2 linked regions of the Canis lupus familiaris genome follow. The protein of the gene in region 2 purifies or fractionates together with the protein of the main gene of each other region. This does not show direct contact. Links are inferred from orthologs where the notes say so. Each region holds a gene or a part of one and is shown on either strand. Other genes may lie near its edges. The genes, in order: NUDCD3 and GAN.

Region 1 (3,816 bases), on a different chromosome or scaffold from region 2:
GTGTATAACAACGCTTTGATGTCTGTATTACAAAATGATCACAATAGGTTTAGTTTATATTTGTCACCATACGTTTGTGTGTGTGTGTGTGTGTGTGTGTGTGATAAGAGTGAGTTCTACTTTCTTAGTAACTTTCCCATGCATGGGTACAGTGTCGTGAGCTGCGGTCACCATGTGATGCAGGAGATCCAGGCCTCGTTGACCTTCTTCCTGGAAGTTTGTGCCTTTGACCCTCCCTCCCCCTGAGATCTTCCTCTGGTTTAGTTTTTTTTTTTTTTTTTTTCTCATTTTGCTGGACTATAGCCTCAAGGAGCTTTCTCAAGTTTTAAAGTTTTGAAGGAACTATAGCTCCTTCAAAAATATATTTACAATATATTGTAAATACAGGACTCTTGAATGTCTTAAAATGTAGTTTTTTTTTTTTTAATGTAGTTATTTTAAACATATTTATTTCATGGTTTGGTTGTGTATGGAAATCTAAAAAAATTCTCCCCTTAGAAGATTGAGGGCCTTGCCTCCCTTTTGTCTTATGTCCAGTGCTACTGTTTCTTGAGATCTCTTCCATTCAGGTTCTTTGTGAGGGAACTTTTATCCCTGGTCTTTGCAACTTTTAGGACCTTAATTTGAATAATTTGAATATTAGGAGTCCATAAGTTTGTGTGAGTCCTTTTTCCCTCGTTCTGTTCAGCCCTTGGTGGGTTTTGTCCAAAAGCACGTTTTCGACTCCGGAGTGTTATCTTGCTGCTGCGTGTGGTTTCTAGCCAGCCACCCCGATCACCTAGATTGGTCTTTGTCTCTATCTTGATAGTTTTTTTACTTTAACAGTCTTTCTGTTGCAGATTTTATTTTAGCTTCTGTGTATTTAATTCTGAGTGGGGTGTGTGTGATTGTTCTATTTTCACATTTCATTTTGGTTCCATAGTCAAACCGCTCACACCTCTCTAAGGATATATACTGGAAATACTTTAGAATTTCCTTTTTTCCTAAATCTGTAGTCTTTTTTTTTTTTTTTTTTTTTTTTAATGCTGCTGGTTTAAGGATTCAATTCTTAGTTCCCTGGTAGTTTTTTAATTAAAAAACATATTTTCCTCATTCTTTTGAATAAGGGCGGTATGGATGGTTTTCTCTGTTTTATGTCAGAGATCTGCTCCTCTACGGCTGCTGAGGGCTCAACCGGGCAGCTTTCCTGACAGCACGTGGGTCCCACCACCCACACTGTCCCCTCAGAGTGCTAGACAGACCCCTTGGTCTATGCCACTGCGGTCTTGGGGCTGCTCTGACCGCTCCGCTCCTGCCCTCCCACCTGACTGCCCGCCAGCTGCCCGTGCAGCCGAGGCTCCCAGATGCACACCAGCAGACCACTTGCTTGTTCCTGCTCTGTCCTGCCTGTCCCCACGCTCTTCTCCTTCGTCTCCTCCTCCCTTGTGTTGTCTGGGATTTTTCTCCTTGTGCTTGCTTTTTTTCCATGGGTCCCAGAGGCTGGGGCACCGTCACCTTGAACTGGAAGCATCTCTCCAGGTCCCCTCGGTGCTTTGGCTTGTCCGCTGTTGTGCAAGACTCACTGTGAGAACTTGCCCAAATTTGGAAATAACCATGTTATGTAAAGCTAGCGGGGAGGATTTTATTAAAGTGAGCTTGCTCCTGGAGTGCCTCCACCGCATGCCCAAGTTCATGGTCAGAGACATGGTGGCCCAGGAGTCTGCTGGGCTGCTGCCGAGTTGGCTGTTGGATGCCAAGTAAAGCTGGCTTGTGTGCGTGTCTTTGCCACGCTGACCGAGTGAATAGGACACCCCCAGAGGTTGGTATGGGGGCAGCTGTGCCCACAGGACGCCCCAGCCCCTGTGTGTGGGCATGGTGTGGTCTGTGGGCCACTCTGCTCTGTAGCAGCGCTTTTGTCCCCATTCCCCCCACGGTTCAGGAACTCTTCCTCTCTCGCCTGAGAGCCACCTGATGGTGGGGACTCTGGAACAGCACCCCTTCCACTGTCCCATCTTTTACTCGAGATTTACGATACAATTAGGTTATGGGAGCAGAGCTTGAATATTCTGGGACACTTAGAGTTTCTGTTCAATACTTTCTGAGTGTTTAATGAGTACTTACAAGCCATGTGGGAGGGTAGTCTCCAAACAAAAGCAGATGGAACCCCACCCTTGGGCCTGAGGTGTCCCTTCCAGTGTCTGTTCATTGAATGCACGCATTATGCAGATGCTATCATAAAAAGATATTACAGTATAGACACAGATTTTAGAGTTTAAAAAGAAGTGAAAGAGAAACTGGAGTTGTACTTGCTTTCCTCTTCCAGTTTCTGATCTGAATAACGTCCAGGGCTTCACGAGCTTTGGATGCTGTGGGCCAGGGTCCCAGCAGCTCCCATATGGTGCTGGGGACAGATGTGGGGCAGAGGGGAGAGACTATGCATGACAAGTGTGAGCTGAGAGGCTGGGTTTCTCGAGAACAGAGAAACTATGAAACCAGAGGAGCCAGCTCAGTGCCCCTGGCGAAGGCACAGCTTCTCACGGACGGACGGGGACGGAGGCAGAGCAGGCGTGTGGGGGTGTGGCCTGGCCCTCCTGGCACCCTGCGGAGCTGTGCTACCCAGGGGGCCGCGACAGCTAGACTCGGTGGGAGGCACACCCCCACCTGCGCCCGCCAGGCTTGCTTTCCGCCATGGATATTGGTCTGCCCTGATGGAGAAGGGATTTGGGTGGAAAACCAGCAGTTTGCCTGCGTCTTCATTATCCATGTTGAAACAGAACTTCTAGGATGTTTACTTGAAGGAGACCGTGGAGCACAGGCTGCTGCTTCCAGTGTCCCTGGTTGGTGGGATTCTTTTCTCCCAGAATGCCTGCTTCTTCCAGGATGGCCTGGCTTCTAGTTCTCTCCTTCTTGGGAGCGCACTGGGTGCCACCTTCACAGCACAGAGTGACACCCCTCTGCTCGGTTCCAGGTCTCGGTGGCCCTCAGCAGCAGCTCCATCCGGGTGGCTGTGCTGGAGGAGAATGGGGAGCACGTCCTCATGGAAGGGAAATTCACCCACAAGGTCAACACCGAGAGCTCTCTCTGGAGCCTGGAGCCTGGGAAGTGCGTCCTGGTGAGTGTGGGTGTCTGTGTGGGCACTCCAGGAGGAGAAAGGGGCGTGGGGTCCTACCAGTTGGTTCTCTGAAGTGGAGCCAGTGGGAATGTGAAACTCAGTGGTCCTCTGTCCTTGTGCCCACGTGGAAACCGCACACAGTGATGACAGGAGCTCCTGGCAGGGTCATCCCCAGAGCTCGGCTGTGCTTGTGCAGGATGTTCCTCCCAGTCCCAGAGGCTTCCACTCGCTGGCGACTTGGTTACATCTGAGGCAGAACCAGATAAGTGGAAAATTGAAAGGCAGATTGAATGTCATGGATTTCCTCCTGGAGGATGCAGAGTGAACAGGTTCAGATAGACCAGCTTATTTGACAAAGGAGTCTCAGCTGGCTGAGCTACTTGGGGCTGCACAGGCCAAGCGGGCTGCCTAAGTGCTCTTGTCACCGGCATCTTCAGAGGCTCATTCGGCCTCCTCGAAGCCTTGCCACCCGGTCAGTGGGCAGTGCCCAGGGGGCCTCATATGGCAAAAGGTGCCTGACTCGGGCCTGGAGAGAGGGTGCAGGGCAGTGGGAACAGACCAGGTCTTTGAACAAAAATCTCAGGATTTTACAGAAACACTTTTATTCATATGAGGAAGGAAGGAAAAGGAAGAAATGTTTCAGTTTCATCTTCGTGGGATGGGTACCAGTGAGCAGCCTGTCCATGCTGACTGGAGGGCTGTGGAGCGGAGAGGGGTCTGTTGTG
Region 2 (3,816 bases):
TAGGGACTAGCTTTTCTTGGTTTTGGAATGGTTATTTTAAGGTATACTATTCCATATCCTGAGTGGCAAAAGCCAAGAGGTCTTAAGGCATGAAGTTCAGATTAATCAAAGGGTGAAGAACTACCTCTTGTTTCCCTGGCAACCTCATCCCTAGAAGAAAGGAAGAGACAGCTAGTGACCGTGGTCTCTATGAACAGCAGTGAATCCAGAACTCTCTTATCCTCTTTCCTTATCTACCCAATGAACGTGGAAAACCAATGCTAGCTGTGCTAACTATGCCAAGACTACTATCATATGGGAGTGTGTATTTCTATATCATTACAGATCTAACAGTTTCCATCTCTATTACAGTAGCTCATAGTTCCTAAATAGGCTGATAGAATTTTAACAGTTACAAGATATTCACTAAAACCTACATCAACAGCTGCTGAGAATGATTAACAATGCAATTATACATTTTAAAACTACTCTAAAACCTTCTTATTTTGAATATAGTAGTTGAAGCTGGTGTCTATAAATACCAGACTTAAAGGTCTGTGATTTTGCCCCCTCCCACACTGTAGTAATAGTTTAGCTCTAAAGCCTGATAATTCTGAGACCCTTCCTTCCCAGTTGTTGCTCCCACAACCTTCCCATCTGGAAATTGCATTGCCACATTACAGAGTGATCTCCTGCTTTGTGCTGAGTGGTATCAATCACTCCCGGGAGAGCCCATACCACAGAGGTTTCTGAGGTCCACTCCCCTCACTCCTCTGCCAGAGCGGTGTGTGCCCCCTCTCACTCTGCTGCCTATATCAGAGTTCCTGCATGGGTCACCAGTAATGATACAGGGATGGATGCTGAACAAGACAGTGGGGACAATGAATTTCTATAATCCACACCTCAAGCTTGAAATTAATTTTCCCACTAAAGGCAATGCACAAACAATATTATGTTCCTTACAAGTATTAATATTTTTATTGCTATGAGTTACATGAGCTTTTATAGTCTGGTCTGAAAAAAACAACCACTTCAATGATACTATGCAAAGATGTACCACAGACATCTTTTATTTTCTTAAGAGATTTTATTATTTGACAGAGAGAGAGAGAGAAAGAGACATCACGTAGGGGGAGGGGCAGAGAGAGGAGAGAGAGAGAATCCCAAGTCGGGAGGGTGGGGCCTGATGCAGGGCTTGATCTCATGACCCTGAGATCATGACCTGGGCCAAAATCAAGAGTTGGAGGCCAGTCGACTGAGCCAGCCAGGTGCCCCCAGACATCTTTTAGATCACAACTTTGTAAGCCTTTCAAGTTGAAGGGGAGAGACAGAACACCTATACTTTGGACTAAATAAATGAAGGAATGAATGGAATAAGTAAGTAAAAAGGCAAAGTCAGACCATGTTATAAACCACAGGTACCTTTCTTAGTTCTGTATCATGTGCTATCCATCGAATTACTGCTTCAAACACATATCTTTCGTTGCCAACATTTAACTTCTCGAGAGAAATCACTTCTTTAAGTTTCTGAGGACTGAGTTCTAAGAATTCTTCTGTGCTGCTGACATCTCGGAAATGAGTCTCCAGGTATTCTGTGGCAAGGTAATGGACATGGTGCAGGCAGTAGTGGAGTGCAAAGTCGCGGATGCCAATGCAGTTCTCAGCGGCAATGCAGCCTTCCAAAAACTCACAGCACAGAGTTTTAAGATCCGTCAGCAGGAGCAAGTCTGCTGCCTGTACAACATCTTGGATTGTATCTTCATTCAGCCGGATCTGCAGGAGTATCACAAATACTTTACATTTCAATATATGTATTAAAGCCCAAACTGCTAACCTATTAGGTGGAACTACATGAAAGTTCCACTTTTGTAGGTCAAAGATGATCAAATATTGGCAATTTCACACAGTCCAACCTAGGTCATCTTTTTCAAAAGGAGTTTGAGGGCACCGGTGAATCTTCAAACCATGTGAACAGAATATGGCCGGTTGAGTTTTCCCAGCACTTTCCTTGCTTTACCAACATTAACTATCATGAACCCTTCCTGGGTACACTGTCCATATTGTTTACTTCTAGGCCTTAGTGCCTGAAATGCTTATTAGGAGGTGGACAGTTCTCCTTTCTGTGGTAAACTAAAGGGAGTTCTTTAAATACTAGCACTGGAACTGTGGCAAATCTTGCCTCTAGATATATACCACGTTCCATTTTTTGCCAGATGGCCTGCCAGACACACCACATCAGCCCCTTGGAGAAGGGAGGGCCATGCTGCCCAAGGACCTCATTCCAAATGCCAAACTGCATTCAGTGCAACACGTACACTCTGGTCTCAAATCTACTTTCTGGAAGGAACTCCTAAGGTAAGATTTCTTGTTTATCGTTATGAACTTCACTTTTCCTTAATCTTCTAATGCTTCTTCATCCACCCACTTCAGTTTTTGCAGGCAACACTAAGGCAATTTAAAGAAACAAGCCTCTAGAATATTACCACAATCACAATGGTCAGACTCTTCTTTCCCAAAGAATGGGCAGTTGTCCTACACTTGAAAATGTGAAGGAGAGGTTCCAGGGTACAGTACAGCAAGAAACATTTTGCCACATTTTATATATTGTGTACCGCAGATATAGAAAAAAATGTATGACTGCCAATCACCTTATAAACTGAGCAACAAAACTGTGGAAAGAAGTGTGTCGAGTAAGTCACAAGTAAGAAAAAATTTCTTGTTTACTTGACATATTAAATTCAGCCACAAAACAGTGATAGCTGTACACCAGTCAGGTACAGGCATGTGAGAAAATCACTACATTCCATCCTGATAAAACTAAACTGCCAGATAAGGAGTTTGTTATAATTTATGTTGCAACTACGGTTTTAAACCATAATTAATTTTTTTGTTTATTTTTTTCTTAAACCATAATTAATTTAAATTGGGAACAAAACACAGAAGTCAACCTGTAAATAAGGTTTCAAGATTCAAATCCAAGCCTGAACAGGTATATGCAATTACTGGCTTACGAGTTGTTATAGCTGCTGCTGAACTGATTTTAAAAGTTAGATAAGAGGATTGGTCCTCAGTCTAGTTTCCTGATGCTTCTGAGTATCTTCAGTATTTTAAGGACTGTCCCAAAATTAATCTAAATGCATTCATTTTTAACAATCATACATATAACCTTACATGCACCACCCACCACCTAGTGTTCAGAGAAAAGGAAGGAATAGTGTCATGAAATTAACCCAAAAGCTTCAAAAAGAATGACAATCACCAAAGTTGACTGAATGAATGTATCCAGAGAAGGCAAGCAGTACATTTAGGATACTTAGGAAACACGTAGGATGAGGCTCTCACAAATGAGAAAGGTAAAGTAAGATGAGGAAGGAATAAGGGAGAGAACAGGAAAGAAGCTCTCAAAAAGAGTAAAGATAAAATGCATTCTCACATCACCACACGTAAGATACACTAACCTCTTCCTGTTAAAAAGCTAGTTCTGGTTCAACCTAAGATTATTCTTAAGAGCCCTCATGTTATACTTTAAATCATAAAATCAGGGGTTGGGGGCTTGAGGATGGCAAAGAAAAAGAAAGTCTCATTATTTATAACCTTCTTCCCTGGGTTTCATTAAATCCCCAGCAAAATAGGTGGGCACAGAGAGTAAAGGGACATCAGCAAGAATGGGATGCAACCGGGATATTGGTCCTACTGAAGCAACAGTACCCAGGCATCACAAATACAATGCAGGTGCCTGTCATATGCGAGAATCTCAAACTCTTTTTTTTTTTTTTCTATAAAACAATTCCCTCTGCCCAAGGAAGCTCCCCTTTCCAAGCTATGGGGTACAGAGCA

The links.
Region 1: the proteins of GAN (region 2) and NUDCD3 purify together in Homo sapiens (co-immunoprecipitation; 3 studies listed by BioGRID and IntAct, counting the BioPlex papers as one, with this or other methods). This does not show direct contact. The link is inferred for Canis lupus familiaris from reciprocal best matches to the Homo sapiens genes GAN and NUDCD3.

The regions. Positions count from the first base shown.
Region 1 is NC_049237.1:14,211,250-14,215,065, forward strand, and holds part of NUDCD3 (nudC domain-containing protein 3), read left to right. Parts: intron 1-2,947; coding exon 2,948-3,091; intron 3,092-3,672; exon of another isoform or gene 3,673-3,816.
Region 2 is NC_049226.1:71,108,567-71,112,382, forward strand, and holds part of GAN (gigaxonin), read right to left. Parts: intron 1,753-3,816; coding exon 1,402-1,752; intron 1-1,401. UniProt on the Homo sapiens protein: Probable cytoskeletal component that directly or indirectly plays an important role in neurofilament architecture.